3 linked regions of the Elephas maximus indicus genome follow. The protein of the gene in region 2 binds, or shares a complex with, the protein of the main gene of each other region. Links are inferred from orthologs where the notes say so. Each region holds a gene or a part of one and is shown on either strand. Other genes may lie near its edges.

Region 1 (7,450 bases), on a different chromosome or scaffold from region 2:
AAGCTAAAGAAGGCATTTAGGTCATACCAAAGTACATGAAAAAAATATATTTCTCAAAAAAAAATTTTTTTTTCTCAAAACGATATGTGTATTGTTTAATGAGAAACTAATTTGCAATAAACCTTCATCTAAAGTACAATAAAAAAATATATATATGGAATACACAACTGAGCTTGACTTAAACATTAAGTAAAATACAAAATAAATGACATTTTATATCTTTACACAACTTACTGTGTTTTCTAAAACATATTTTTCTTAGATAACTATATCTCCTACCATTATTTTCACTTACTTTAAGAAGTATCTCTGACCAGAAGACGTTTTCGCCATTTCCCAGCCTGCTGGCAGAGGTACATCATCAGGTATTTCAAAAGAAGACTGTCGAAGATGTTGAGCAGTAGGTGTAGCTGCTGGGCCAGAGACTACTCCAGTGGGGCTCAGGGCCCCAGGAGAAACTGCTCCCAGCTGCAGGGAAGCTGGAGAGGAATGCGCTCGAACGTGCTGTGGAGCCAGGGCCCCTGCAGTTCCTGCATCAGTACTGACCTATCAGGAATATTAAAATGAAAATTAAAAAAACAGAATTTTTAAAAGAGAGTTCTTTTTAAACTTTCTAGATAGAATTTCATTGCAACCCAGTATCTAAGAACCAAAGGCAAAATTCAGCATTTAATACTTGACCCTGAGGAAAACCGTTTGGCAAATGCATACTTTTAAATGGTTTATGTGATTTTGTTCTAATATATATTTTCACAAACAGTTGTAATTTTAATAAACAGTCCATCTAAGTGATTTGTTTTTTTACCCATTAGGCACACGTGTACATCTTTTAAAGGCCACTGGTAAAGAATGCAAACTCTAGTGGCATGGTGGTTAAGAGCTACGGCTCCTAACCAAAAGGTCAGCAGTTCGAATCCACTAAGTGCTCCCTGGAAACCCTATCGGGGCAGTTCTGCTCTGTCCTTTAGAGTTTCTGTGAGTAGGAATCAACTTGATGGCAACAGGTTTGGTTTTTGGTAGTAAAGAATGAATGAAACATGCCTAATAAATACTGAATTTTACATAATTTCTAAAAGGTCAAGGCAGTTTGGGGGCTTTCACGAGTTCTAAAATGTCCCAGGTATAAACATAACCCAAGAAGTATAATGACTATGTCTCTTTTTTTTTTTTCTCCTAAACTGAGCTTTAATTAATTTTTTTTCCAGGCCAAGGTCTAAACACATGATGTTTGTCATTTTTTTCCCCTCACTATGGACAAATGTTGGAAACCTTGGTGGCATAGTGGTTAAGTGCTACAGGTGCTAGCCAAAAAGTCAGCAGTTCAACTCCACCAGGCGCTCCATGGAAACTCTATGGGGCAGTTTCTACTCTGTACTACAGGGTCGCTATGAGACATAATCGACGCGATAACAATGGGTTTGGTTTGGTTTTTTTAATGGACAGATGTTGTCAACCAATCATCACAAGTTATACAACTTCTAATGAATGCAGAATATTCAGAACCATCCAAAAGTTCTTAAGTAAAGCCATTTCAATGGATGAAATGAAAAACCAACAATATATTTGTACCTAGATGATAAAAACATTAACAGTTCGATTACTAATGTAAAACTCAAACCCTCATATATTTACAACTGTGTAACAGAAAAAAAAAAAAAATTCTCCACTCAGACCCTAAAGATCTGGGTCCAGTCTAAGCTCCTTTAACTTTTTGGCTAGTATTACACACCGAACAAACATCTTAATCTCTGTAAGCCTCAGTTTCCTCATCTGTAAAACAGTTTTTGTTTTCAGGATGAAAAAATGGGGGTAATAAATGATATAAAGGAGCCCTGGTGGTACAGGAGGAGCCCTGGTATCACAATGGTTAAGCATTTGGCTGCTAACCAAAAAGTCAGCAGTTCGAATCCACCAGCCTCTCCTTGGAAACGCTATGGGGCAATTCTACTCCGTCCTATAGAGTCACTATGAGTCGGAATCGACTTGACAGCAAAGGGTTTGGGTTGGTTTTTTGGTTTGGTGGTGCAGTGGTTAAGTGCTCAGCTGTGAACCAAAAGGTCAGTGGTTCGAACCTACCAGCCTGCCCTGCAGGAGAAAGGTGTGGTAGTCTCTCCTTCCATAAAGATTAAACCCAGAAAAAAGCTTAGCCAAAGCAAAAAACCAAACCCATTGCCAGTGAGTCAATTCCAACTCATAGGGACCCTACAGGATAGAGTAGAACCGCCCCCATAAGGTTTCCAAGGAGTGACTAATAGATTCCAACTGCCAAGCTTTTGGTTATAGCAGCCCAGGTCTTCACTACTGTGCCACCAGGTCTTCAACTCCACATAAACCAAAAAGAATTACAACTGGAAAGTGTACTTATTCTTCTAGTAAGTAATTACACAAGAATTTATATCCAGCAGTTTGTGGATAGGACAGCCTCCCGTTCTTGCCCATATGAAAATAGAAAATTCTAACTTTTTGATAAAACCCTAACCAATGGGTTAAAAAAAAATTATACTCAATTTTGAACAGTATGAATTTGTGTTGTAAATACTATTGTTCATAAACTCTTGAATGTAAATTCTTAGGTTTATGTCATATATCCAAACCGAACCCACTGCCATCAAGTCAATTCTGACTCATATCAACCCTATAGGACGGAGAACTGCCCCACAGGGTTTTCAAGGCTGTAGTCTTTGTGGATTAATCTTGATGGATTACAGCCCTGGAAACCCTATGGGGCAGTTCTCCTCTACAGGTTCGCTATGAGTCAGAATTGACTCCACAGCAGTGGGTTTGGTTTGGTTATATGATATAAACCTAAGAATTTACATCTAACAGTTTATGAACAGTAGTATTTACAACACAAATTCATACTATTCAAAATATAGTGTTTTTTTTTTAATCCATTGATTAGAATTAGAGTTTGATTATCAGAAGGTTAGAATTTCCTACATTCATATGGGCAAGGAAGGGAGACTGCCCACCAACTGCTGGATATAAATTCTTGTGTAATTACTTATTAGAAGAATAAGTTCACTTTTCAGTTGCAATTCTTTTTGGTTTATAGATGCCACAAAATGGGGAATTCAATCTCCTGTGTGCATTATACTTATAGTAAGTAAATAGCACCGTAGTTTGTACTCTGTAGGGTGCATGCCTACACACTTTATCCATAACGAGCCCAGAAGCTCACCTGCAGGGTTAAAGAAAAAAGCATACCTAAGTCTACCTCTTACAAATTGTTTAGGCAAGCAGCTAAACTGTTTTTTTCTATCACGTCCTTAACCCGGGTTTTTGACAGTAAGCTTTTCTGAGTTCCAAAATTCCTTCGGTTTGCCCACAAGAATATACTACAGGCCTGCAAATATGAGGAGGAATGGGAGTGGGTGGGGGGGGGGAACCTCTTCTTTCCACTCAAGTTACAGCCCGAGTGGACAAACTACGATGCAGTATTTGGAAAACCAATTAGCTTTTGGCCAAAGTTCCTATGCTGAAGTTTAGCCATAGCAACTTCTTCAAAAAAAAAAAAAGGGGGGGGGGCGACACCTACAAAAGCCTTCAGTAAAAAAAAATATATATATATACCTACCGGGACCTACTGGAATGTTAAAACTTTCCTAATAAATAGTTCCACTTCAATATTAAAACAAGTTGACAAAATAGTCGAACGTTGTGTTTGCGGAAAAGCAGCCATGTTCATATCCTCAATAAGAATTAAAAAGCAATGGCGATCCTAGAATTAGTCATCGCTTCCCAAACATTAACTTTTAATCAGAGTTGAACCAGGCAGGACTTGGCCTATGAGTCAACCTGCAGGGTATTATCAAAGGCTGTGTGTTAAAACCTCGGTACTGTAAAGCTCAACTCAGGTCCTGCGCAACGTGCAGATGTGGCTAATTTAAAAGCATTTCAGCAGACTGTAAATAATAGCCTAAAATTGGGAAACCAACACATGAATCTACCGAGTTTGATAAGAGTGAGCCTGCCTGAGTTCCAAGCGCAAGGGAAGTGCAGGAGTGAAAGAACGAACTCCATAAACAACTTCCAGGAAAGTCTGGGCAGGGGAAGCCCGGATCCTGTATTCCGAATGGGCCGGGGCAGCGAGGAAAATAAATGCTTTCGGTCGGGGGAGGGGGAGAAAGAGCAAGAAAACGAACAGCACTAGTTCCACCCCCACCCCCTAATCAACACTGGAAAACAAGAGAACAATTATTTGACTCCCCAGGAGACTGAAGAGGACCGAGAGGCCCCGAAGGAAAAGGGGCCCAGGGCTCAACTTCACAAACTCGGCCGCCGCTGGCAACTCACCCACTCGGATGCCAGAGGCCCCCCTCCCCCTCCCCGGGCCGCGGCTGGAGCGAAGGTGCGGAGCGCGCGGAGACGCGCGCATTGTGCAAGCCCACCGCGGCCCGGGCGGGCTCTCCCCACCCCCTTCCTTCCTCCCCACCTCCCCCTTCACTCCCGCCAACCTCCTGGGAACCCCGGGAAGAAAGAAAGAAAGGAAGAAGGGCAGAGCGCACCCCCTGGGGCTGCAACCGCAGAAACTCCAAAGGGAAAAACAAATCTCGGCCCCGGACTCCAGGAAGAGTGGGGAGCCGAAAACCGCGGCCGAGCGGGGGCCTCCAGTTCCTCCAACTCACCGGGATAGCCCTACCCCTCGCCAGGGTTCCCGGAATCCCCACCCCGACCTGGGGCCCGCCCGACAGGGAAGGGGTAGGTTACCTGTCGGTTGTGGGATTTGGGCTCCGGCGGCTTAAAGAAGGAGTCCGGCAGCTTCCGGAGCCTCATGGGCACGGTCGGGGGCACGTTGGCCGTCTTGGGGTTCATGACGGCGTTGAAGAGCGCCTCCAGGTCGGTCTCCGAGTCCCCCCGGACGTGCACGATCTGGTGCCCGGCGGGGGGGGCCTGCGGCGCCGCCTGGGATCCCCGGGGCGCCGGCTGCCCGGGCCCGGACGGCGGGTCCTGCCCCTGGGGGGGCTGCGCGGGCGTCTGCCCTTGGCCCTGGGGGGCAGGCTGAGGCGGCGGCTGCTGCCCGGCATCCATGGCTTCTGCCTCTCCCGACGCGCACCCCCTGACCAGGCGGGCGAGGGCTCCGCCCGGGCGGCCCGGCTCGACGGGCCGAGACTAGAGAAGCGGCGAGGGCGGCGGGCCGGGCGGCGCTGGGCGTCGGGAGCGGCGCGCTCCTCGCTCTTAGGGCCGAGGGGCTGCGCCGCGGCCCCGCATCCCCCGCCCCGGCGCCTCCGCCCCCGCCCTGCGCCCGGGCTCCACTGGTCTGGCGGCTGCGCCTCGGGAGGGGCTGAGAGAGACCCGGACCTGCGGCGCCTGAGAACTTTTTTCCCCTTCAACTCCCTTGACTGAAGCCGGACAACTAGTCGCCTTTCCCCTCCCCCTTTCTCTTTTATTTCCTTTTCTTGTTCCTTCCTTCCTCCCTTTCTTTTCCCCGGCGGCGGCTGTGCCCGACTGAGACAGAAACTCGCCTCAGACGCCAAAACTGAAGTTGAGAGAACTGCCCGCCCGAGCCGCTCGCCGGCTCCGCCTCCTCCCAGCTCTTCCTTCCTCTGCGCGCCCGCCCGCACCGAATCCGCGGCCGGCCGCCGAGGGAAACTTTTCCCTGCAAGTTACTACATTCCTGCAAACTCCCAGCTTCCAATGCCTCTCCCAGCCGCACGTGACCAACTCGCCCTCAACCCAGTCCTTCGCCTGTGCTTCAAGGGCAGAGGCTGAGGGGGTGCTTGGACCTCCGCGCCGCGAGGACTGACGGCCGGGCGGATGGGAAACGTTGGGTCCAAACTGGGTCTGAGCTCTCGTCTGTGCAGAGAACGCGGCCGCCCTTGGCCGCAGGAAGTTCTTCCGCCCCGCCCGGTCCCTCCCCGCCGATCCTCGGAAAAAGGCTCGGTCCAGCTCGCCAGGAGATGCGAAATGGCTAAGGCCGAAAGAAGCCTGGAGAGGGTGAAACTCCACTTAAACCCTCCCCGCGTTAGCTCGACTTAAACCAGCAGTAGTGTCAATACGGGGTTAAAGGCGCAAAAATAGGTTGGAGTTAGAATAGGTACCAGTAACAGGCACCGATCTTAACAAATGTCTGTTTAACAGTAACTGGATTTTGTAGTTTTTCACTCACCTCTTTGCATGCAAAAAAAGGATAAATGATCACAGCATCTAGATAGTTTGTGGCTAGTTCTGTGACTCAGTGTAACTTCAAAAAAAAAATTACCTCTTTCCAGTGAATTAAGGTGCGTAAGTTTTTTTTTTTTTTAAGTGAAAACATCAACTTTTGTGGCATTCAGACTTGCAACATACCCACTGGAAACCTCTACGTGAAAAATCAGTGTTTACTTTCGGTTACAAACAATTTTCAGTGTAGCTGCCTTTCATCCTAGAGGAGCTGTGAACCTATCCCATCGTTATCCCCGTGCCTGACACAACCGTGGACTCCGTGAATGTTGCATGAGTAAGAAATGAATGGGCGAGGAAATCATTCCAGGCACCTGATCCTAGATATAGCCGTGTCACGTATGCTTGGAGTCCACTTGAAATCACTCAAATGCAATCAAAATTTTTTTTTTAATTCAAAATATCATTATGATTTTTTAAAAAAGTTTTGAGATATATGCAATTGTATGTCTGACACATACACAATTCATCCATTTAAGCAATACAATGCTTTTTAGTAAATTCACAGAGTTGTGCAACATTGCTCAGATTTTAAACCACTACCCGCCACTGCGCAGCTCTGGTGCTAACCAAAAAGGCTGGCAGGTCCATTGCGTCAGCTGCTCCTTGGAAACCCTATGGGGCAGTTCTACTCTGTCCTATAAGGTCGCTACCAACGCCTTTGGCTTGATTTTTTTACTCACTGCCATGGAGTCGATTTCCACTCAGTGACGGTATAGCACAGAGCAGAACTGCCCCATAGGGATTCCAAGGTTGTAATCTTGATGGAAAGAGCCACATCGTTCGCCCCGCGGGAGCGGCTGGTGGGTTTGGATCTTTTGGTTAGGAGCCGAGTGCTTTAACCGCTGCGCCACCAGGGCTCCTTAAACCACTAGCCCATTCTAAAGAAATCTGGCTTCTTGTTTCAATGATTTTGTCGACAATGCTAGTGAAAAAAAAATGTAAATAGGATTAAGCAAGAAAAGGGCCCCTTTGCAAAAAAAATAATCTCTCCCTCCAGCCAGGACTTGCCCATGGGAATTTTGAATAGGGATCTCTCGCTTGGTGTATGGCAGGGCCAGGGGCTGTGGCATCAGACACTCAAGATTCTAACCCCCACTCTGACTACTTCCTCTGAAGAATGGAATCAGATTAAATGATGCCCACCATCCCATCTTGGATTTACTTCTCCAATCTCGCCCCCCGAAAATGTTAAACTTCAAGTGCATTTAACTACAAACTTGTAGGTTCTGGAGTTACAGAGATTTCAGTTGTCCCAGTTCCACCATTTTCTAGCTGTGAGGCATTG
Region 2 (7,212 bases):
TAAGAGCTCAGCTGCTAACCAAAAAGTCAGTGGTTTGAATCCACCAGCCACTTCTTGGAAACCCTATGGGGCAGTTTAACTTTGTCCTATAGGGTCACTATGAGCGGGAATCCACTCAACAGCAATGAGTTTATCTTTTTGGTTGGTACTTAGTATCAGTGTGAGGATGGCACAGGACTAGGTAGTGTTTCATTCTGTTGTACATTGGGTCGCTGTGAGTCAGAACCAACTCAACACCACCTAACAGCAACTCAGTAGCAGTGAGACAGAAGCGTTTTAAATGTCAAATCTAGGCCAGGAAAAGATGGCAAGAAATGCTCATTGAGACCCCACCTTGGGTAAAAGTAAAAAAGATTCTAGCTCTAGAGAGAGAAGATTTTTTTCTAATGCATCATGGACAAAAGGTCTGGGACACTTATGGTCAAAGTTGGTACCTAAACCAGCTTGCATCTAGCCCACCCTAACAACCATCTGATCTGGTGATGTGCCAGTCCACACCACTGCCTTTGAAATCTTTCAGTACCAACATGCTGCCTTAAGGTAGCTCATTTATTTCCCCATTATAGGCCAACCATGTCAGAGTTCTCTAAAGTCCAAAAGGCAGATGCTAGAGACTGAAATGGAAGAAAGAAGTTCCTTTCTCAGGACCAGCCCCGTTAAGAGAAAGTCACCAGACCTGTCTGGTGAGAGAAACCGGGTCACCTCCAAAGCTTTGGGGGAGTCACTTGCCATAAGAGTTTCTGCCTGGTTTGGAACCTTGAAACAAACCCAGCACATCTTCAGGAAAAAAAGGAGAAAACCGGGGACCCAGAAGGCACCAAAGTGGGCCTGCCAGCTTCCCCTGTAGAATTAGCTCTGATGAGAGTCCTTCACTTGAGTTCCGTGATGTGGCCAAACTTCAACTCTGGGGAAGGAACTTGATGAGGCTGACTGAGTTCCAGCAATCTTGCCAGTTGGAGGAGCCACCCGTTGATGTCAGGCCAACCAGCGTTCTCAGTGGTCCAGCGAGCATGCAAGTCAGCTTTGGCAGTAAAGCTGCTCCTCAGGGCTAAGGCCTGATTATTTTGCTTTTGGCACAGAATTGTGCGACAAATGCTAGACCGTTGACGCTGGATTAATACCAGCTAATATTTGTTGAACGTGTACTATGGCACTTTGTGTGCACTTATTTTATGAAACTGCACAGCAATTCTAAGAGGAGGGTACCGTTTTTAACTCCCACTTTTTTACAGATGAGGGCACAAACGTGAGCCAGGTTAAAAGCCTTGCCCAAGGCAGGCCAGAATGCAAACTCAGACAGTCTGACTCCAGAACCCACATTTTTCACTTTTATTGAGTTACACAGCCTTTAGGGCAAGCCCCTTATGTTACAAACGAGGAAACTGAGGCTCAGGAAGGTACAGTGGCTTATCCAAGTTCGCACAGCCAGTCAGGGGCACGATTCAAGTCTCCTAGAGACCAGTTCAGGGCTGCCTGGACTCTGGGGTGTGGTGGGGGCGATTTGGTGACTTTTTCCAGCCGAAGGGCTGGACCCGGGGACTCAGCTGATCCTGCCCGCCAGCCCCGGTCCAGGCACCGCCGGCTGTGCAGATGACTCAAAGGGCTGGAACTGCACTTTCCACCCCGCCCCTCCCCGTCCCGTCCCGTCCCGCTGCTCTGAGAGCCCAGTTCTCGGGCTGGGCAGGTGACAACTCGTTTAAGTGAAACCGAGAAAGCACCGCCCCTCGGGGCTGGGCGGGTGGGGAGCGCCTCTCAGTCAGCGCGTAGCAGCTTCCGCTGGGCCCCGGGGGGCAGCACGAGGTCGTGCCGCCCGCGCTCCGCCACCCACTCCTCACTGGCCAATTGGGCCCTAGGGGCGGTACCCTTGTCAGCTTCCTCCTGTGACTGGGCAGGCTTGGCCGCGGCCCCGCCTCCAGCCGCCGGCTGAGGGGCGGGAGTGCGCGAAGCGGTCGCAGGCCCTGGCGTGCTGCTGCTGCATGGTGCGGCGACGGCGGGCGCGGTCGGTTTGGACCGGCCTCGGTTCCCCGCAGCTCTGCGTTTTTCCTGCCAGCCCCGTGTCATTTTGTCCCCATCTCCGAGGGCTGGGGGGGGCGTCCGCCTCTCCTCAGATCTGGGGTTTTCATGGCGGCCTCGTAGCCCTGCCTCAGGTCGTCCTCCCTCCGCTTAGAGCTGGGCCCTTGTTGGGACTCCTTTCCGCTTTCGGACGTGGGGTCCTCAGTGCCGCTCACCGCAGCGTCCCCCAGCGTCGCTGCCCTGAGACTCACGCCCTCTCAGGTTGAGCTCTCCGGCCTCGTGCGCTGCAGCACCCACTCACCTCTCCTCAGCCAGAGTCGCCGCGCAGCCTTTGCGTTCACCTGTCCCAGCGGGGACCAGCCCAAGGTCACCCTGTTGGAGAGAGCTGAACCCCGGGCTCTCCTTTGGAGTCACTGCTCCCAAAGTCCCACCTGTGGGTCATGAGCCAGCCCCATGGGAGGTCAGGACTCTAAGTCAAAGGTCCAAAGTCAGGGACTCGTAGACTATACACCAATCCCAGTCCCAGCCCACGGCCAATAACTGGAAGACAGGAGGAATGTCACAGGGGAACTTTATTGAGAGGAAACATGGTCACACCCAGCAGACATGCTTTCCCTCTCTCCCATCCTTGGTCTTACTCTCACACACTCAGTCACACAGACACACACTCATCCCAGCCTCCACCATACAGTCCAGCTCTCAGCCACAAGGGTGGGACACTCCTCAATTCCTAAGATCTTGGGGCAGAAGGGAGGCAGGAGGGGAGACGAAGAGGCCCGGCTCCCGGGCAGGGCGGGAGAAAGGGGGTGCAGAGAGCAGGAGCGGGTGGGGTGACCAGCGGTCAGAGCACCTGACAGCACATGAAGTGTGGGATATTCTGGCTCCAGGTGGCTTCAGCTCTGCCGGTCCCTCTCCACGGAGCCTTCCTGAGCTGGGGGCAAAGCACTCAGGGAGAAGGAGCAGGCTTCCCACCCCACACTAGTCCTCTCTGCAGGGGGTGGGGGCTGGAGCGGGCAGGGCAGGGCAGGTCGCAGGCGTGGCTCAGCTCTGGGGCTCCTCCGGAGCCTCGCCCCCCTCTTCCCCAGCACTGTCGGCCGTCCACAGCGTCAGATTGTCTCGCAGCAGCTGCATGATGAGGGTGCTGTCTTTGTAGGAGTCCTCGCTGAGAGTGTGCAGGTCAGCCATGGCCTCATCAAAGGTGGTCTTGGCCAGCGAGATGGCCTCCTCAGGGACGTTGGCAATCTCATAGTGGAAGACAGAAAAGTTCAGTGCCAGGCCCAGGCGGATGGGGTTGGTGGGTGGCATCTCCTTCTTGCTGATGTCCATGGCCTCTTGGTAGGCTGCCCGAGCTGCGTTGATAATGCGCTTCTTGTCGTCACCTGTGGCCACCTCGGCCAGGTAGCGGTAGTAGTCACCTTTCATCTTCAGGTAGAAGACCCGGCCCTCAGCATCACCAGCCTCCTTGATGAGGTGGGAGTCCAGCAGGCCCAGCACAGTGTCGCATACACCCCGGAGCTCAGTCTCCACCTTGTCCCGGTACTCTCGCACCTCAGGGCCCTTTTCTTCTGAGCCCTCCTCGTTGCTTTTTTGCTCGATGCTGGACAGGACCCTCCAGGCAGCCCTCTGGCCACCCACCACGTTCTTGTAGGCCACTGAGAGCAGGTTGCGCTCTTCGCAGGATAGTTCCTCACCCTTCTCCACGGCTCCCTTCATGAAGGCTGCCATGTCCTCATAGCGCTCGGCCTGCTCTGCCAACTTGGCCTTCTGGATCAGGCTGGCTCTCTCCATGGCTCTAGGGACAGATGGACAGGTGGCGAGCTAACTGGCTGCCTCAGGACCAATGCCGGACTGGGCTCTGTGGCTCTCCTGCTCTGTGCCTGCCTTTTGGCTGGGTGGCCTGGCCCAGAGGAGGGTGGGGAGGGGTAGGGGGTGGGACTGGGGCCCTGGACCTGCCTCCCTCTCCTCTCCACACCCTTTCCGGCTCTTCCTTAAAGGTAAAAGGGGGTGAGTCATCAGGACAGTCAGCGTCAGAAATGTGGGCGTGGGCCCCACCTGCATAGGCACCTTTCTGGGCTCCTGGCTGCCCCCTCTGTTCAGGGTTGCCATTACATGCCCATGTTAGGTAGCTCCCCAGTTTCTCAAATCGGATCCTCCTTCGTAGTGACCTTCTAGCCACCGAAGCACCCATAAGCCAGGTTCAAGAGAATGAGGCTCCTAATCCTGCTGGACATGTTTCCCCCTTGGTTCAGGTGAGGTAACTCATGCTTCGGTAGGGCTGTAGAGATTCCCAAGCATCTTCACAGCCACAACCTAATTTAATCCCTTTTTTACCCTTCTGTGGGAAACCCTGGTGGCGTAGTGGTTCAGTGCTATGGCTGCTAACGAACAGGTCAGCAGTTTGAATCGACCAGGTGCTCCTTGGAAACTCTACAGGGCACTCCTACCCTACCCTGTAGGGTCACTATGAGTCGGAATCGAGTCGAGGGGAGTGGGTTTGGTTTGTTTTTTTGGTACCCTTCTGTGAAATGTGCAGCACTGTGATTATTATTCCCACTTTAGAGATGGGAAAACTGAGTATAAGAGAAGGGTGAGATTAGCTCAGGGTCACACAGCTCTTTAATGTGGTGAAATCCATGTAAATTGTGCACTACAGATTAGTAAGTAAGCATAAGTAAGCCTGTGTGTACTTTGCTTATTGGGTAATCCATCCCTGCTCCTCAGGGTCCTGTCCCCTCTGAATTCCCAGAATGCAGGGGTGGGCAGCTTTCAAGGTGCCACTTAATGAGGTATTTAAGAAGCGGCCACTGACGCTCCAACCCAGCCTTTGTAATTAGTCACCCAGTAGGTTTGTCAGACACCTTCCCCATCACAGCACAATTTTCTCTTTCAAGTCAGTGGCCTGTTGCCACTTGTTTGAGGATTTACCCTCTGGCTCTCGATGGCAGGCCAGATGCCCCCCCCTCCTGAAGCTGCCTGCCATCATGTATCAGTGGGGCTCATGGAGGGTGGGGGCCCAGCTCCTTGGCTGTCCCACTTTCCTGCTTGACTCAGCCTGCCTTCTGTCAGAGGTTGGGAAGCAGGCCACCTGGGTGCTCAGGCCTGTTTGGTCCCGCAGGGGGGATGCCGGCAACCTGAGGAGAAAGATAGGCTGAGAAGGTGGTGGTGACATATACCATTTTGGTTTATGGGGCAGAAATCCCAGCTGAGTGCTGTCTCCCCAAACCTGCCTCTCAGAAGTTTCCCTGTGCCACTGCCCAGGGCCCCACCTCTGACCCCTGACAGAGGTCTCAGAGATGGAGACTTCTCCCTTGCCAACCTTCTATCCCTGCTCAGTGGGCCCCTGTCCTTGAGTCAGCCAAGAGTTTCACCTAAGGGTATTGGCGCTGAGCCTATGAGGGTGGGTTCCTGCTTATCTGTCCTACCCCTAGCCAAAGCTCAGACGGGAGTCTGGGGTGGGGCTTCCCTTTCAGGGATTCTACCAGCCTAATCCTTGAAGCCAGACCATTTCATAGGCCTGGGCCTCCCCTGGTTCCTCTTAGTGTCTGAACACCCACCTTCCCCTCCTGGAGGGAAACTTAGGCCAGAACTCTGAGGCCCAAAGTTGAGCTCTGCCTCTTTGCCACGAGGGAGAGTAGAGACATGCCAAGGCTGATGCTACAGATTTTCTAAGGAGGCGGCAGGGAACTTAGGTTTGACCTCCCAAAGGCTTTTGCTTAAATCAAAGCACTGACACAAAAGACGATGGCAAGGAAATGTACCAAAACAGCAGCTTACAGACGGCATCTTTAGGTAGTGATGCTGAGTGATTCTTTTTCCTTTTGATTTTCCTATTCTCTCCAAATTTTCAATCATGAACATTTTTTTTTTTTTTTAATGAGAGAGTCTAGAATCTTTGGAATGGGACTGCCTAGGCTCAATTCGTATAAGCTGTGTGGCCTTGGTCAAGTTACTTAACCTAGGTGAGCTTCAGTTTCTATACATGTAAAATGGGACTTCTGAGGTTCAAATGAGTTCATCGAAGCACTTAGCAGAGTGGATGGTAACTATTATTATGTGAAAAAACTCAGCCAGCTTTATTGTAAACATACACACAAAGCACTAACATGGAGCAGGATTCTATGAAATGAGGAAGGGCCCCAAACCAGGCCTCTGCTGAAGACCAGACCCTGTCCAGCCGGGTGTCCATGGGGGTAAAAAGGGTTTGCCCACAGGCTCCCCTCTCAAGATGGATAAGTGGTCAGATGTGCTCAGCCCTGCCTTCTCCTTCACCATCTAGGACATTCAAGGACCTTACTTGGCACTCATCAGCCAGCTTGGGCTTTCCCAAGTCCTAGGGGAAAGCTGGAGATCTTGGTACACTAGGAAGCTCGAAGGCAGAGCCTGGCACGTCTAGGAACTTTGGAGCTGTTTCTATATCCAGAGAGGGAGCATTCTCTCCTCACCACCTAAACCAGGAGACCTGGTGGTGGTTCACCACAAGCTCCATGCCCTCAGCACAGCCCTGAGAGGGGGAAGGGAAGCCCCTTCACTCCTGGCCCCCATCTGCTGAAGCTCATAGAGGAATCTGGGAGCCTTGCTGCCTGATACCTCTGGCCGGCTCTGGCCTGTTGATCCTGACTCAGTTCCTGTCTCAGGCACCTCCCTTTGCCTCCGGGCCTCCATTTCCCAAGTCTAGGAGCCCAGGTGGGCAGGAGGCAGCAGGCCCTGGCAGGGCACAGAGCTCCACAGTCAGCCACCTGAGTCAGCAGAATAGGAGCTGGGGCTGCAGCCCAAAGGGGCTTTCCTCATCCTGCCCACCTCCCCACCCCTCTGCATAGCGTCCATCCCACCGGCAGGCTCAAGGCCTCTGGGCCCACAACCAATTCTTCTTAGCTGGTAATAACAGACTTTGAAGGGTTGTGACACACAAACCCAGCAACCAGTTGCTATTTAACTTCACTGAGAACAGAGGACAGGGCTCTCTCATTGTAGCAAGAGGGATTCTGGTCAGATTCCAGAAAGAATTTTCTAGGACATTTTTGTCATGGAATGATCAAACTCAATAGGTGACCAGAGGGGGCTATGGCATCTTCTTCCCCTGGTGAGTTGTGAGCCAGAGTTATCCAGCCAAGAGCTTATGGCATTAGTTGCCTTTGGGTGGGAACACTGGATAAATTTTAAGTGACTTCAGCTGTTCTCTTTCTCCTCAAGGCACTATGG
Region 3 (7,450 bases), on a different chromosome or scaffold from region 2:
CCCTGTGCAAGATGACACAGGTTTGAATAAATACCTATATGTCCAATCTGCGTTGATGTATATATTTGACCCGGAAATGGTTCATTAGCTTCCGGCCACTACCTCTCTTTGCACCTAGGAAAAACAGCTCTATATTAGGTCATACTGGCTGAGTGCTTCTCCAGATGAACATACCTACATTGACTGTGACCTACCAGAGGGCAAATCACTGTGGAGATTCCCCACAACAGACTCAAGATAGAGCACTGCACTTCTATCTCTGAGGTTACATTTAGATCCAATCCCAAAAAGCTATATGAATAGATATTCTGCAAAATATCATTATTTTCTATATAGAAACCACAACTCTCAAACTCAATGGCCCAGCACGAACACAATCTTTGCCATTTTGCCATGGTGACCACACACCCATTTGCCCAGAATTGTCCGGATTTATATTTGTACCAGTCTAATTACTAGTGGCTCCCTATTTCACAATAAAAACTGTGCCAGATTAGACAATACATTATATGGTCATCCTACACATAGGTCCATTGAAAAGGGGACAAACCAGAGGCAACTTATTTGGGAATGTTCGCAGGCCTCCCACTCTAGGCTACCTTGTTCATTTATGGACAACGCTTAAAAACTAAAAACAGGATGTTTTAAAATAATGACCCTAAAGTTCGAATAAACAACTCTCCACTTCAAATGCAGATCTCAGAAGCAAAGCAAACAGCTGGTCTTCTTCCCTCTGAATTCAAGGGTGCCCAGAACTTTACAGAACCTATTCTGTATGAGGTATGTTCCTGGATGGCAGGACTACAGTGAATTCAACCCTTAACAAGTCCAGCTGCAAAATCACTACTTTGGGAAGTTTTATTTGTAAATTCTTCAAAAACTTCAGTCCTAACTCTTCCCACTGGTGTTGGCAAAGAATATTGGACTGCCAAAAGAACAAATAAATCTGTCTTGGAAGAAGTGTGGCCAGAATGCTCCTCAGAGGCAAGGATGGCGAGACTGCGTCTTACGTACTTTGGACATGTTGTCTGGAGGGATGAGTCCCTGGAGAAGGACATCATGCTTGGCAGAGTACAGGGTCAGCGGAAAAGAGGAAGACCCTCAACAAGGTGGATTGACACAGTGGCTGCAACAACGAGCTCAAGCATAACAACAACTGTAAGGATGGCACAGGACGGGCAATGTTTCGTTCTGTTGTGCACAGGGTCGCTATGAGTTGGAACCGACTCGACGGCACCTAACAACAACCAACAACTCTTCCCACTATGACAGCCATATAGATTGAACTCTGGAGTTCAAAAGGAAATGTAGCAAAAGCCTGAAGACTGTTTTCAAATTGCACTCATTTATTCAACAAATATTTATGCTAGAGACTGAAAAAAAAAAACCCTCCCCCTCCCCCCCATCAATGAATACAATCCTTAGATGTGTTTAGTTTGGCCCTTTAAAACCAGTTGCCATGAAGTCGGTTCCAACTCATAGCAACCCCCTGTGTGTCAGAGTAGAACTGTGCTCCATATGGTTTTCACTGGCTGCTTTTTCTGAAGTGAGTCACCAGGCCATTCTTCTAAGGCACCTGTGGGGGGACTTGAACCTCCAGCCTTTTGGTTAACCGACAAGAACATTAACTTGCACCACCCAGGGACTCCCTGGCCCATATAGGATTCTTAAATGTTTAAAATACTCACTAATATTTTAACATGTGAACACTCACATAAAAATTCAGATTTCCAGCTTCTCTCAGGAAAGTAGAAGCTCTGGCAACAGTAGCCTTGTGTTGCATTAAGTAAAGCAATTTCCAGCCAGTGCTGAAGGGCACCTTGAAAAAGGTCACCCGCTATTCAGTCCTCCTCCATCCTCACTCAACACTCTTCCCAGACATTTGAGTTGGTAACACCTGATTTATGGCTGGAGGTAATAATCCCTGGGGGGACCACATCTGACCCTTGAATTAATGATCCTCTGCCAGGGATTCTATAGGATCTGAGCAAATAAGAATCCATATATTCAGATATTCAACTGGGAAATGAAGATAAGCAGGAAAGTTAGTTTTTCCCTTCCTTTATCAGAAAACGATATGGCTTCCGTTGCTCCTGCTGGAAGGGGAAAATGAGCCCAAACGTGCTACTATTTGTAAAGGAATAGCACATTCAGCCTCTGGCACCTAAACACATAACGGAGGTAAATAAAAAGGATCTTTTAAATTGGCCTCCCACCAATGTGTCAAAGTAGGAGTCAAGAGCCACTGTTGAGAATTCAAAGTGCCACAACTCACAGATGAACTTTACACCATCACGAAATTAGCACCATCAAAAATAATGACAGGTTTCTTAAAGTTCTGGAAAAATGCCATTTATTCCTCCTTACTGAGAGAAGCAGGAAGCTGTAATACCATGAAGATTTAGTAATTTTCACAAATAAATCAAGAATATGCTGTACCTCAATTTCAACACATGTAAAAGCTTAAAAAAAAAGGGGGCTTGAACAAATAAATATCAAATTCACTTTAATCGTTGTTAGGATCTGTGGTCACAATTTAAAGTTGCTTTCTTCATAATGACAACTGAGTATTAAGATATGAAACTATTTTACAAAATAACTGATAATATCTAAGACAATGAACTTTTATTTTCATCAGTTCACCTACAAGCCGTTTGTGAAAAAACCACAGAACCAGAAAGTCTTTCAATTAGAGGTATTAGAATTATGAAAAAAGAAAAAATTAAAGCCGTACTTACAGGTTGTTTTTTCCATCTGACTATTGTTTTTAAAACCAAAAACCTAGTGCCGTCGAGTCACTCACAGAGACCCTGTAGGACAGAGCAGAACTGTCCCATAGAGTTTCCAAGGAGCGCCTGGAGGATTCGAACTGCCGATCCTTTAGTTAGCAGCCTAGCACTTAACCACTAAGCCACCAGGGTTTCCTATTGTTGTTACTACTAATCTCCCAGCTACCAAAAGCACCACCACATGGTGAAACCCGAGACCTTATTTATTTATATTTACAACACTATTCTTTCAAAATACTTTGCAAACATTAAATAATTAATCCTCTTAAAAACAGCACTTTAGAGTTTTTGATATATTAAAACTCTCTTTACACATTTAAGAAAAGGCTTGTTTTCTAAGAAACAATCATCGCGGTAAGGTTTTGTTCAGATTCCTCTAGCGTTTAGAAAAGAATCATGCTTGTTTCTAAGCAAATGAAGTCGACTGTTGGGTGACAACAGCTCGTCTGAAAAAAAAAAATACCATTAAAAAACAAATTCTGACCTTTTCATACAAAGCTCTTCCACTAGGATGAATTTTAAAGGACCTAGTATGTCTCCACCCGAGTGTATAAAAAACTGCTCCCCCCCCCGCAAAAAAAAAAAGTCTTCCTTCAACTCTACAGACAGCGTCGTACTTTGCTGACAATCTGACAACGCCTAGTAAACTATTCCCTAAACCCCTCTCGAAAAGAGTCTCCAGGATCGGAGACCCGCAGGTGCCAAGTGGGTTAAGAAGGAGGACTCGAATCAGACCGAGCGCAGGGCCTCTAGGAACTCAACCCTCTCCCGTGTTCGTAAACACGCACACACACACACACACACACACTACACACAAGTCCGGGAGTCTCCATCTCCGATCACCCTCCAAACAGCGCCATCCTCTCTGGACGCGCACCCCTCCTGCGTCCTTCTCGCGCGCGCCCGTTCGCTCCTCCTTGGTTCCGAGACCGTTCTCTGTCTCCCTGCTCTCCCTCATCCCTGGTCCTTCGGACCAGTCCACTCTGGCCGCCACTCAGCCCCGGAACATCTTTTCCCCGACTCCGGGACCGAGGCGGGGAGCGCAGGGCGAGCCCTCCAGCCGCGCCACGTGGAGGGCGCGCGCCAGTACACCGACCACAGTGCGCCAGAAAAGTGGGGCCCAGCCCCTTCGGCCCTGCTACCCAACCCCAGTGCGCCACCCCTCCCCGTGCATTCCCCGGCGTCTCCGAGCGGAGCTCTTGCCTGATTGGGGTCTGTGGCGCGGAATACGTGGCAGGCCATCTGCGACTCGGGGTCGTCGGGCTGCGCCTTAATCAGGTAGGCGAAGTAGGTGAGGTCGTGGCTGTTGTGAATGAAGCGCGAGATATGCTGCGCCTTGTGCTCGAAGATGAACACCGCCGGGTTGGGCTGCGCGGCTGTGGGGCCGGGGCCCCCTGCGCCCGGCGCGGGGACGCAGCGCAGGAGGGGCGAGCTCAGCACCAGGAGCACCTCGCGGGCCGGCTGCGCCCCGCAGCCGCCCGCCTCCGGCTTCTGGCTGCGCCGGCGAATCTCGGCCATGAGCCAGGGCAACATGGGCAGCGTGGTCCTGCGGTCCAGGCACGACCCCCCCACGTACCACAGTCGGAACCGCTTCTCGCCAGGCTTTCCCGGGGCTGACTGCGAAGAGGCGCCGGGCTCGGGCTCCAGGGGGTGCGGAAAGGGCTCATCCTGAATGCAGCTGGGGGTTTCCATAGTTCTCGCCTAAGGAGGGCACCGAGGCGGTCCAGCAGGCGCGCCGCGCCCCCAAGTCCGGCGCTGAAGGCGCTGCCGAAACTGTGCCAACTCCCACACTGGGCTCCCGCGCCCGCCTCGGTGCGGTGAGACACCGAACTCCAAGCCTCGGCGCCCCTGCCCCAGGCGGCACTTCCACGGACGCAGGTCCGAGGCTCCGGCGGCGAGCACGGAGGCGAGCGCCCGGCAGCCGGGCTCCAAGGAGAAAAAAAAAGAGGACGGATTAAATCGGCATCCTTCTTTCTCTAGCACATGCCTCAGGACCGGACTTCTTTCTTCGCCACGGGTCTGTCCGATCTGAGAACAACGCCGAGGGCCCTACGCCACCACCTCCCGCCGCGGCCGGTCGCCGCCTCCTCCAGCGCTGCAGATCGGCTGCGGCCGCCGCTCCGGCCTCGGGCAACCACTGGGAGGCTGGGCGGGGAATGGGCTGTGGGCGGGGAATGGGCTGTGGGCCCGAGGGGGGATTTGGGGAGGAGCTGACTCCTACCAGGGTGACCGGCTGTCACCTGGCAGGTCGGGGCTGCCGAGCTGCGGCGCGCTCAGTCCTCGGAAAGGATTTGCGAGAACTATCCCAGTGGAAAATGAGAAAAACATAACGTGGCCTCGCGGGGCCGCTCCTGCCGCCGCAGCCCAACTCGCTGCTCCTCCTACTGTTCCCGTCCCTCCCTCGCTCCTTCCTTCCTTCCCGGCCGCTTCTTTAATCAGGCTCCTACCCCGCCTCCCGTCCGGCTGGCGGTGAGGAACGCCTCCAAAAGCATAACTGTGAAATCACCTCTCCGCCTCTTCCTCGGACCCCCGCCCAGCCCGCCCCTCCACTCCACCCTTGGAACAGCTTCTCCGGGCCTGGCGCGGCTACTGCCCAGACCAACTCGGCCTCTCCCGACTGGCTGAGCTCTGCGTCCTCTCCAGGAGTCTCTACTGCCCCCTATGAGGCGTTGGAATTTTTTTTAGTAGTATTTGCTTAGCTTCAGTTCCTTCTGAATCTCAAATGCGTATTGATTTCTGAATTCTCCTTCTTAATAGTCTCAAATAATACTCGTGTTTTAAACCATATATTAGGATAAAATATTTTAATTCTGATTTTCACTTTAAAATATTATATGGCAAACAGTTTTTCCCGTTCTTAACGCAGCCAACTTCTGAAAATATGGAGAAATTACACTTATTATATATACCTTTGCTGGAAACCCTGGTGGCATAGTAGTTAAGGGCAGCAGCTGCTAACCAAAAGGTTGGCAGTTTGTAATCCACCAGGCGCTCATTGGAAACCATGTGGGGCAGTTCTACTCTGTCCTATAGGGTCACTATGAGTCGGAATCAACTCGAAGGCGGTGGGTTTTGTTCTGTTTTCTTGGTTTTGCTGTTTCCGAGAAGTATTCGAAGCTGTTTACAGATATACAAACAATATAAGAAGATATAAAATAAGAGAAGTAATGGGATGAGGGGAGGATAGGAAAGATGAAGTTAGGAGCAGTTTCAATACCCAAAATACATACCATAATTTTCTAGAGATTGGTGACAACGTTTCAGAGATCGTGTAGAGATTTCTCACATTTTTATGTAGCAATGCATGTTTCCAAGAAACTCAAAAACATCTCAGGGATCATTTAATCATTCTAATTTTTAAATAAGAAAAAGATTTTTTTTTCCCATTTTTAGCAAATCTGACTCTCAGTCATTGTATTAGTTTCCTGCTGTTGTGTGCTGTCCAGTAGATTCCAACTCATGACGACCCTATAGGACTGAGTGGAACTGCCTCATAGGGTTTCCTAGGCTGTTATCTATAAGGGGGGAAACCCTGGTGGCATAGCGGTTAAGTGCTACGGCTGCTAACAAAAGGTTGGCGATTTGAATCCACCAGGCACTGCTTGGAAACCCTATGGGGCCGTTCTACTCTGTTCTATAGGGTGGCTATGAATCAGAGTCGACTCCACGGCAATGGGTTCGGTTTTTTGTTTTTTGTTTTTTTTAATCTGTACGGTAGCAGATCACCAGGTCTTTTCTCCTGCAGAATTGCTAGTGGGTTCAATCTGCCCACCTTTAAGTTGGCAGCAGAGAGCGTAACCACTGCACCACCAGAGTTCCTTATTAGTTTTGTAGAGCTGCAGTAACTGGGTGGCTAAAAGCAACTAAAATTTATTCTCTCACAGTTCTGGAGACCAGAAGTCTGAAATCAAGTATCAGCAAGGTGGGTTCCTTCTGGAGGCTCTGAAGGAAAATCTGTTCATGCTCTCTCAGCTTCTGGGGATTGTTGGCAATCGGTGTTCTTGGCTTGCAGCTACATCACTCCATTCTCTGCCTCTCTGTGTGTCTCTGTATCTTTTCACATGTCCTTCTTATAAGGACACCAGTCATTGGATTTAGGGCCCACCCTAATCCAATATGATCTTGTCTTAACTTTATTACATCCTCAAGGACCCCACTTCCAAATAAGGGCACATTCACAGATACCAAGGGTTAGGACTTAAACATATCTTTTGAGGGGACACAGTTTAACCCATCGCAGTCACTCCTTCTTTTTACTCTCACTGAATTATAATTAAGAATTGGATCAGAAGTAAACACAAAACAAATGGGAAAGGCACTGAAGGTTTCCGACTTTCACCAGTGTGCTTAGAGGAAGAATGAAAACCCAAGTTTCTCAAATGTTATTACTTTAGTGGTGTTCTCATTTTCTATAAAACCCTTGAACTATTTTCTCCTGTCTATGTAACATCAATATGGTCAACTGCCATTTATTCCTATGCTGAATTTCTGGGTGCACCTGATGCCTGTCATAATTATCTAAGCTCCAAAAAAGAGATATTATTAATTGCTTAGATTAAGTCATTTGGTTAACCATTCCACCGAAATTTTGTGTAAAATAACCTATGTCTTAAAGAAGCAATGGAAACTTCTTGAAACATAGACCGAAATTTATCAGAAAC

The links. Proteins that work in one complex are often made in the same cells at the same time.
Region 1: the proteins of SFN (region 2) and YAP1 are in contact, whole or in part, in a crystal structure (PDB 6G6X), measured with the Homo sapiens proteins. The link is inferred for Elephas maximus indicus from reciprocal best matches to the Homo sapiens genes SFN and YAP1. Residues at the interface, in NP_006133.1 of Homo sapiens: Lys11, Glu14, Cys38, Glu39, Asn42, Leu43, Val46, Lys49, Arg56, Lys122, Arg129, Tyr130, Gly171, Leu174, Asn175, Val178, Glu182, Leu218, Leu222, Asp225, Asn226, Leu229, Trp230; in NP_001123617.1 of Homo sapiens: Ala125, His126, Ser127, Ser128, Ala130, Ser131, Leu132, Gln133.
Region 3: the proteins of SFN (region 2) and TBC1D4 are in contact, whole or in part, in a crystal structure (PDB 7NIX), measured with the Homo sapiens proteins. The link is inferred for Elephas maximus indicus from reciprocal best matches to the Homo sapiens genes SFN and TBC1D4. Residues at the interface, in NP_006133.1 of Homo sapiens: Asn42, Ser45, Val46, Lys49, Arg56, Arg60, Phe119, Lys122, Arg129, Tyr130, Glu133, Gly171, Leu174, Asn175, Val178, Tyr181, Glu182, Leu218, Ile219, Leu222, Asp225, Asn226, Leu229, Trp230; in NP_055647.2 of Homo sapiens: Arg637, Arg638, Arg639, Ala640, His641, Thr642, Phe643, Ser644, His645, Pro647.

The regions. Positions count from the first base shown.
Region 1 is NC_064825.1:18,547,234-18,554,683, forward strand, and holds the start of YAP1 (transcriptional coactivator YAP1), read right to left. Parts: upstream 5,125-7,450; 5' UTR 5,032-5,124; coding exon 4,711-5,031; intron 547-4,710; coding exon 296-546; intron 1-295. UniProt on the Homo sapiens protein: Transcriptional regulator with dual roles as a coactivator and corepressor. Critical downstream regulatory target in the Hippo signaling pathway, crucial for organ size control and tumor suppression by restricting proliferation and promoting apoptosis.
Region 2 is NC_064821.1:67,303,586-67,310,797, reverse strand, and holds SFN (14-3-3 protein sigma), read right to left. Parts: upstream 3,932-7,212; 5' UTR 3,802-3,931; coding exon 3,055-3,801; 3' UTR 2,399-3,054; downstream 1-2,398. UniProt on the Homo sapiens protein: Adapter protein implicated in the regulation of a large spectrum of both general and specialized signaling pathways. Binds to a large number of partners, usually by recognition of a phosphoserine or phosphothreonine motif.
Region 3 is NC_064832.1:68,291,508-68,298,957, forward strand, and holds the start of TBC1D4 (TBC1 domain family member 4), read right to left. Parts: upstream 5,198-7,450; 5' UTR 4,482-5,197; coding exon 3,993-4,481; intron 3,978-3,992; exon of another isoform or gene 3,748-3,977; coding exon of another isoform or gene 3,667-3,747; exon of another isoform or gene 3,623-3,666; coding exon of another isoform or gene 3,605-3,622; exon of another isoform or gene 2,739-3,604; intron 1,363-2,738; exon of another isoform or gene 1-1,362.